2 linked regions of the Coturnix japonica genome follow. The protein of the gene in region 1 interacts with the protein of each later gene in a pairwise test. Links are inferred from orthologs where the notes say so. Each region holds a gene or a part of one and is shown on either strand. Other genes may lie near its edges.

Region 1 (3,820 bases):
GAAACCTGAGAGCAGCCTGTCAGCATCTAAAGAGAGGCTGTAAGAAAGGAGGGGCAGGGCCTGTTGTCATAGAACAAGAGGAAATGGTTTCCAGCTAAAAGAGAGGAGATTTAGATTGGATATAAGGAAGAAAATTTTTAAAATAATGCTGGTGAGGCACTGGAAGAGGTTGCCCCCAGAGAAGTGGTGGAAGCCTCATCAGGGTTTGGGCACCTGATGTAGCTGTTGATACCCTTGTTAGGTGCAGGGGAGTTGGACTAGATGGCCTTTAAAGGTCCCTTCTAACTCGAAAGATTATATGAAAATGAGAGGTGGATCTATAGGAGGGGGTGAGACTGTTGTCAGTATGTACAAATGGATTGGTTTGTCTCTAGATAAAATTATCTTAGAGCAGATAAAACTTCTGATATTTCTGCAACTGGAGAGTGGGTGCTGACTGGCAAGAAGTTTGACTCATCCATGGTGGGGGGGAAGGAAGGAGTAGAATAGGAAATTAGAGAATTAACCTGTCTTTGTATATTTTTCTCCCATCTACAAATCAGAATATATATATATATATATATAAAATATATAATCAGAAAAATATAGCAGCATTTCCTAAAACTTCTTTTTAGATTCATCAGCAAGAACTAGAAGAGTGATAAAACTTTGAGCAGTAGGTTTTATATGGATGCATACCAACTCTGTTGTTTTTAAGCCAGATTTCATTATTCCCCACCCTGCTCCCCAGAAAGCATTAGATCTGCTGTGGTTTTAGCCCTAAGTGGGATGTGGTGTGGTAGTTCAAACCTCTTGTATCCAGAAGGTGTTACTCACAACTGCTTGCAGGAAGTGTTTCTGTTACTCTTGTTAGTCTCCTGATTTCTGTATTTGAGAGCTGTAAGCCAACATAGTTTAGATGTTAATATTCTCAAGACCAAGAAGGAAACAGTTTCTTCTCATTGATTTTTTTTTTCCTTCTTGAGCACTCCCACTGTAGTTCTCAGTAATTCATTTTTGTCTTCTTCCAGAACTGGCAATCATGTGGGCAATTTACCTCATGAAATGCAGAGTATTATTTCAGAGGTGGGAAGAACAGCAGCCTTTTCAGAGCTCATTCTCTGTGTCCCCACAGAGGTGTGCACCAGCAACTGCTGTCTTTAATTCCCATTCCTAACTAATCTGGGATTCTTGCTTCTGTTCTAAGCATGAACCTTTTTTCTGCTGTGAAAAGCTGAAGAATTTTGTTCAACTCTGCTTAGAAAGCCTTTTTTCTACCTGCACCATACTTTAGTGAAGCTTATTGTGAGATAAATATCTATGATTATAATATCAGTTGGCTGATATTTGCCATGTTTCTGTTAATAACTATAAAGACAATTCCAGCCAAACTCAAAGATTTCAGGTACTAAAAACTGTATGCGTAATTTCTGTTGAAAAGCTAATTGATGTATAAATATACTGCACATATCCATGTACTGAACAAATATTTAGTGAATGGAGTTGGCTTTATTGCAATATTATTAATGGTTCATTGTTTTGATCAAATAAACTCCTTTCTGTGCCATAGACCTTTGAATGTCTGCTACTGTATTTTTCTATTGTAGCTCAGAGTAGGAAAGGTAAAACTGCTATGATGACTACACTAGCTTCTCTTTCTTTTCCTATTCTCATTGTATTGATCTGTCTAATTGCTACAGCTATAAATATCTGGATTCCTTTCAGAGTTCTAGACAACTTGCATCACGATTTCATGAACAATTTGTTGTTCGTGAAGACTTAATGGGTTTGGCTATTGGCACTCATGGTGCTAATATTCAGCAAGCCAGAAAAGTTCCTGGAGTGACTGCCATTGATCTTGATGAAGATACCTGCACATTCCATATTTACGGAGAGGTAAGATCCCTTCGTTAATCCTTCAGATGATATGAGTTTAAAAAAAACAATAAACACAAACGCTTTGGGAAAACCCATCTCATTTCTCTTACATACCCTTTGTGTTTTAGGATCAAGATGCAGTGAAAAAGGCAAGAAGTTACCTTGAGTTTGCTGAAGATGTCATACAAGTCCCAAGAAATTTAGTAGGTATGTTAGTCCTGGAGATTGGTATTAAAGAAAAATGCCTTCTGAGGTTTTTATTTTTTACAACTGAGGCAGGGTAGGAAAAAGTTATCTGTGAGCAGTTCTTAGGTGATAGACAGCCTTCTAGTTTGAAGGCTGTGGGTTTTTTTTTAATGGCTTTCTTTTTGTCACAACCCTCCTCTATACCCCAATTCTGTCCTTCATAGGGACAGTCCTTTGTAAGGAATTACCTGCTGGTTTGCAGTTCAGAGATGCCTTAATACAAAGTAGAGTAGTTTCTTGATTGAGCCTAAGAATTATTTCCTTCAAAGATGCTGAGGTATTTTTTCAGCTGTAGAACAGATAAGTAATTCTTGCACTGTCTTGTATTTTTCTCCCGTGCTTACGTTTGTTTAGAAGCAGCACTGTAGGATAAACTGAAGGCCTGGTTAAGGCACTTGAAGGTCAAGAAAACTCTCCAAAGATAATAGTGACTTAGATTATCAAATACCTGGTGAGAGTTCACTGGAGTGCATGTGGCCCTCATTATGTGGGGGAAATGTGGAAGTTGTTTTATTGAGTTTTGTTGCTACAAAGAGGAAGAATACTGTGAACTCTAATGTACCTCATATGGAGCAGTTTACAAAAGCCTGTGTTGAAGCAGTGGAAAATTCTGCAGAGGGACAAGTGCTTATAATTGCTCAGCTCTGGAGTTGTTTTAGAGCAGTAGCTTTAGGGTAGGTTCTTCATCCCACTCCCTCTTGTTACCTCTAAGGGGCAAGTGAAATGCTAGGCTGCTGTAGTTACTTTAATTAGAAATTTATTTTGTCTATTTTCTGCTTAGAACCCTGCGTTTACTTCTGGTTTTGGCAGGATTTTACTTGTAGTCTGCTTCTTGGCCTAGATTCCTTAAAACACATAATTGGACCAACCTTATCTCATATCCAAAATAGTGCTTGTTCACTTACTAATTTCTAGTAATTTGCCAGAAAACAAATGAGTATGGATTATTAAGTCAAAACCCTGTTACTATGTCACTGGAATCTTTACGTTTTCCTTCGATTAAAATAAAAGCTCGGCATCTGTTTTCTCTACATAATTATCCTTTAAAAATTTCAAACAGAACTAAAAAAAATTTTTGTTGCCTTTCTAAAGGTTTCATAGAAATCAGTAACCTAAAACGTAGGTTACAAAATGGACTGTATCTATACATAATAATTTTTAATGTTTCATGTATGTTGCTGAATTCTTCTTAACATTTGTTTTTAAGAAATAAGTTTTTCTGTAATTTAATGTTCATTTTTGTATTTGGTTCACCTGATTTTTATTTATTTATTTATATTATTTTTATTTTTTTTTAATTTACCACCAAGGATTTTTTTGTTTTGTTTATTAGGAAACTGTTACACCAAAGATGTGTAATGGAATAAGTTACTCAAAAGAAGCCTTTGATTGTTTGAACAAGCCTTGTGTTCAAGGAAGACCTTTGTAGCTTTCTTTTTTGTCATGTTTTCTACAAATATTTAGGGTTTAAAATTAAAAAAAAAACAACAAACAAACACAGAAGTGGAAAAATCCATTTAGCTTTGAATAATAGGTGCAATGTTGTTTGTGATTAAAAGAAAAGTTTAATTTGCTCTCCTGGGGTTAATTGTATCAGCTGTTATGCACTCAATATTTACTGCCTTTATTTCAGTACTGTCCTCTTTAAAAAATAAATTTAAAAAAATCCTTATTTTTTGGTTTTTCAGCAGTCATAAGAATCTGTGTTCCTGTTAAA
Region 2 (3,820 bases), on another chromosome or scaffold:
GTGCTGTGTGTGCAGGGTGCTGGAGTTACAGTATCTCTTTCAGCAGGTCAGACTGAGGGCTTGTTCAGTAGCATTGGTATCACCCTGGGTTATCAGACCCAAAGGCATTTCTGGGCTGTTCAACTTTCATCTCTCCCTGGAAAATCTTAGTAACATTTTAACATCTATCTTCACAAAGTAATTTTTACCCTCTGCTGGCCTGTGGCCCATGGGAGGCTCAATGTCCTGCCCAGTGGCACAGCTTTACTTGTGCTTCATGGCCACATGTGTGCTCTCAGCTTGGCCTGTAAACCTCACTGAAACAATGACAAAACTGAATCTGGAAGTACTGGCCAAACCTGGTTCCTCATCACACCTGCTTTAGGGGTAGCACTCTTCCTGCTACTTGAGAATGCATTTGCAGCCTCAGGTTTGCTGCACATTAGGGTCATGGATGCACAAAGAAAAGCAGCTCTATGGCTACAGCTTTGTGCTCCCGGCTCAGCTGCTCAGGAAGTCAGTTATTGAGGTGAACACAGTCACTGCAATGCTGATGACATTGCTCTGTGCGCTTGGGACTTATATGTGCTCTGCTGTGCAGCAGATAGCATCAGGGTGCCTGCGCAGAGGAAACTGCCCAAGCCTAAAGCATGTGAATGAGGTGGAGGCGCTGTGCTTTCACCCCCTGCCTTGCTTTGCACTTTCTTACTGCCATATCTACATGCAAAGCAGTAGCTCAGGTTTCACAACAACTGTTTCCCCCAAAGCATCAGCTTGCAATAGAAGCACTAGCACTAAGCACTGAGTGCTGACGCTCACATTTATGTTTCCCAGACATTTCTTTCCCTACTCTTTCTATGTTTATCCTTTGCAATTCCTGCTGACAGGATGTGGCCTTCCCCTAGCAGCCAGGGCACAAATAGAAGTTAATGAGGTTAAAAGACTGAAATCCTTCATATACTTGCTACAGTTCTGCTCACTGGTGTGGCTACAGTTCTGTATAAATGATCCCCACTGGCTTGGCTTGATTTTAGAAAGCTTTGTCAGTCTCAATGGCCACATCTTCACATCCATCATCTGCAGGGTTTCCTCTAATGAACGCGTGGGATTCCGATATGCAAACTGCATATATTAATCTACTTTATCCCTAGGGATGCAGTGATTTTCAGCACCTCCAATTCATTATGACCCCTATGTCCTAAGATCCCTCCTGCTTCTCCCTGTGCCTGCTGGGGGTTTTCTTGCCTGTACTTCTGAAACAATTTGACAGCACACGGCATCAGGTGAGCAAACATCTAGCTTGTGCATATTTTAATCCTCATCTCCATTTCACCCATAGGCTAATTTTGACACAAACTTTGAAGACAGAAATGCCTTTGTGACCGGCATTGCCAGGTACATCGAGCAGGCAACGGTGCACTCCAGCATGGTGAGTCCCTGGGCACTGCCCAGCAATGCCACACTGCAGTGTGTGCCTTGCCCTATCAACACCTCTCTGTGTTTCAGAATGAAATGTTGGAAGAAGGCCATGAGTACGCCGTGATGCTGTACACGTGGAGGAGCTGCTCAAGAGCCATCCCCCAGGTATGCGTGGTTTTGTCTTCAATGGATCAGTTTGGGTCAGTTTGGGGTGGAGACAGAAAATAAGAAAAGACTGAAGAGGGTAGAATGGTTGAAAACAGAAACCAAATGTTCTGCTGTTGGTGTACCTGAAGGTCCCAGGCTTAATCATTCTCCCCTTCTAGTTCTGTTTCAAATGTTTTTCAGTCCTTCTCCAACCTGAATTTTGGTGGTTCTGTCCTTCAGACACCTACAGGCATGACTAAGGTTGCCCACATGGTCCACTGAGCTGTGATTCAGCCTCCAACACAAAGCTCTGCCACATGAGAGCTCACTTCATCACTTCAGAAGTGCAGGCTGACAACACTGCAGGCAGATGCAGCACACTTGCATTAACCCTACTGATAAAAGGGTTTGCAGGACTTCTGTGGAGCTTGGAAAACATATTTCTGCATATTTTTAATGCTGACAATCATCATTTGTCTTTGCAGGTGAAATGTAATGAACAGCCAAACCGAGTGGAGATTTATGAGAAGACAGTAGAAGTTCTGGAGCCAGAAGTGACCAAGCTTATGAAGTTCATGTATTTTCAGGTATGTGGTCAAAGTAGTTGACAAAAATAATGTCTTTGGTTTGAGATTCTTTAGCAGGGCCAGCATAGCTCACTCTGCTATGTCACAGAGTCAAACACCAAAGCTAACAGATGCCACATATGAGACACTTGAGAAAATAACATACTCAGATCCCAGCAGAGTAATGACAACATAGAAAAACAGAGCTGCTGTAGGCTCAAGGGAGCTCCCTATGTCACTGCTTGCATTTACAACTGGCTGCAACTGGGTTTTACTACCGCCTTTGGGTTTCATGTCCCATGAGATCTTAATTCTCCACCTAAAGAGCCAAAGCGTTATTTGGCAGACAGCACTGCTATCCAGGCAGGCTGGGCAGAGGATTCAAATCTCCTCTTCCCCTCCAGCATGGAGGACATTTGTTGCAGGGGTCTGTAATGCTGCCTCATTTCATGGCAATAACTGAGTGAGACCCTGAAGCTGCCATCCCACCAGGGGAAGGTAGGGGATGGTGGCTGTAGGGGTGGTGGTGTGCATGTGCTGACCCTATCCCACTGCCTTCCAGCGCAAGGCTATCGAGCGGTTCTGCAGCGAGGTGAAGCGCCTGTGCCATGCAGAGCGGAGGAAGGACTTTGTCTCTGAGGCCTATCTCCTCACCCTGGGCAAGTTCATCAACATGTTTGCAGTACTAGATGAGCTGAAGAATATGAAGTGCAGTGTGAAGAACGACCACTCGGCTTACAAGAGGTGAGAGGCAAGAAGCAGGGCTGAGCCTGCACCTGGTCTGGCCGAAGGCATTGCCTGCAATGGGATCTGGCAGATACAGGGAGGCTGGAGGGTGGTTATCTGTGCTGTTGTGGTCTCTTTGTAAGAAAAAGACCAAGCTTCTGTGTGTTTCAGTTCCCTGTTGGTAAAATGAGGAAAGGGGAAGGCTCTGCTGCAGGTGAGCTCTGCGGCTGCTGCTCTGCAGCTGCAGGTGAAGTGAGGAGGATGGGTGGCGAGAGCCTGGCATTGGGCAACAGTTCATGGTGATGGTGGATTTTTCCCATTCAGAGCTGCCCAGTTTCTGCGGAAGATGGCAGACCCGCAGTCCATCCAGGAGTCCCAGAACCTCTCTATGTTCCTGGCAAATCACAACCGCATCACACAGGCAAGTCCATCCCTCTGAACCATTTGACCCTTCCATGCTTCAGGGAGCTTCAGGCTGGACTGCAGCAATATCTGCCTTTTTTTGTTGGGTCATTTCTGATGATTGTTGGTGTCTGGGTCAGGCTGCATAAGTCTAGTAACAACTCTCTCCATTGGGTTATCCTGGGTAGCTTTGGAGGTCTCTTTATGTCAAGACAAGGATAAAACTCTAAAAGATGTAAGAAGAGCTCTCAGGAGGCTTTCTCTCATAAACCTTGCCCTTATTTTTTTCCAGAAATCCATCCAGTCTGTCTCTGTAGCTGCATAGGGATTGCAGATCAGACACAAGGGACCTCCACAATCTACAGGCCCTACAGATTCTGCTAATTAGATAAAATATTGCACAGAGACAGGAGACAGTCAGAAGGTCTGCTTCTGAGCAGACTGTTTTTCATCTCACTGTCTGACGCTTGGCTGCTGTCATCAATCTGAAAAGGAGAGCTCTCCTACAGGTTCCTCTTTATAGGTGGTACCATGAGGTCAATCTTCTATCTGTAACTCAAGTGCAGACAGGGTTTTAAGAA

Evidence for each region.
Region 2: the proteins of FMR1 (region 1) and CYFIP2 interact in a two-hybrid assay, tested with the Homo sapiens proteins (2 studies listed by BioGRID and IntAct). The link is inferred for Coturnix japonica from reciprocal best matches to the Homo sapiens genes FMR1 and CYFIP2.

Annotation. Positions count from the first base shown.
Region 1 is NC_029519.1:17,282,172-17,285,991, reverse strand, and holds part of FMR1 (synaptic functional regulator FMR1), read left to right. Parts: intron 1-1,704; coding exon 1,705-1,875; intron 1,876-1,985; coding exon 1,986-2,064; intron 2,065-3,820.
Region 2 is NC_029528.1:13,113,660-13,117,479, reverse strand, and holds part of CYFIP2 (cytoplasmic FMR1-interacting protein 2), read left to right. Parts: intron 1-1,318; coding exon 1,319-1,408; intron 1,409-1,485; coding exon 1,486-1,563; intron 1,564-2,030; coding exon 2,031-2,132; intron 2,133-2,673; coding exon 2,674-2,855; intron 2,856-3,161; coding exon 3,162-3,258; intron 3,259-3,820. UniProt on the Homo sapiens protein: Involved in T-cell adhesion and p53/TP53-dependent induction of apoptosis. Does not bind RNA. As component of the WAVE1 complex, required for BDNF-NTRK2 endocytic trafficking and signaling from early endosomes.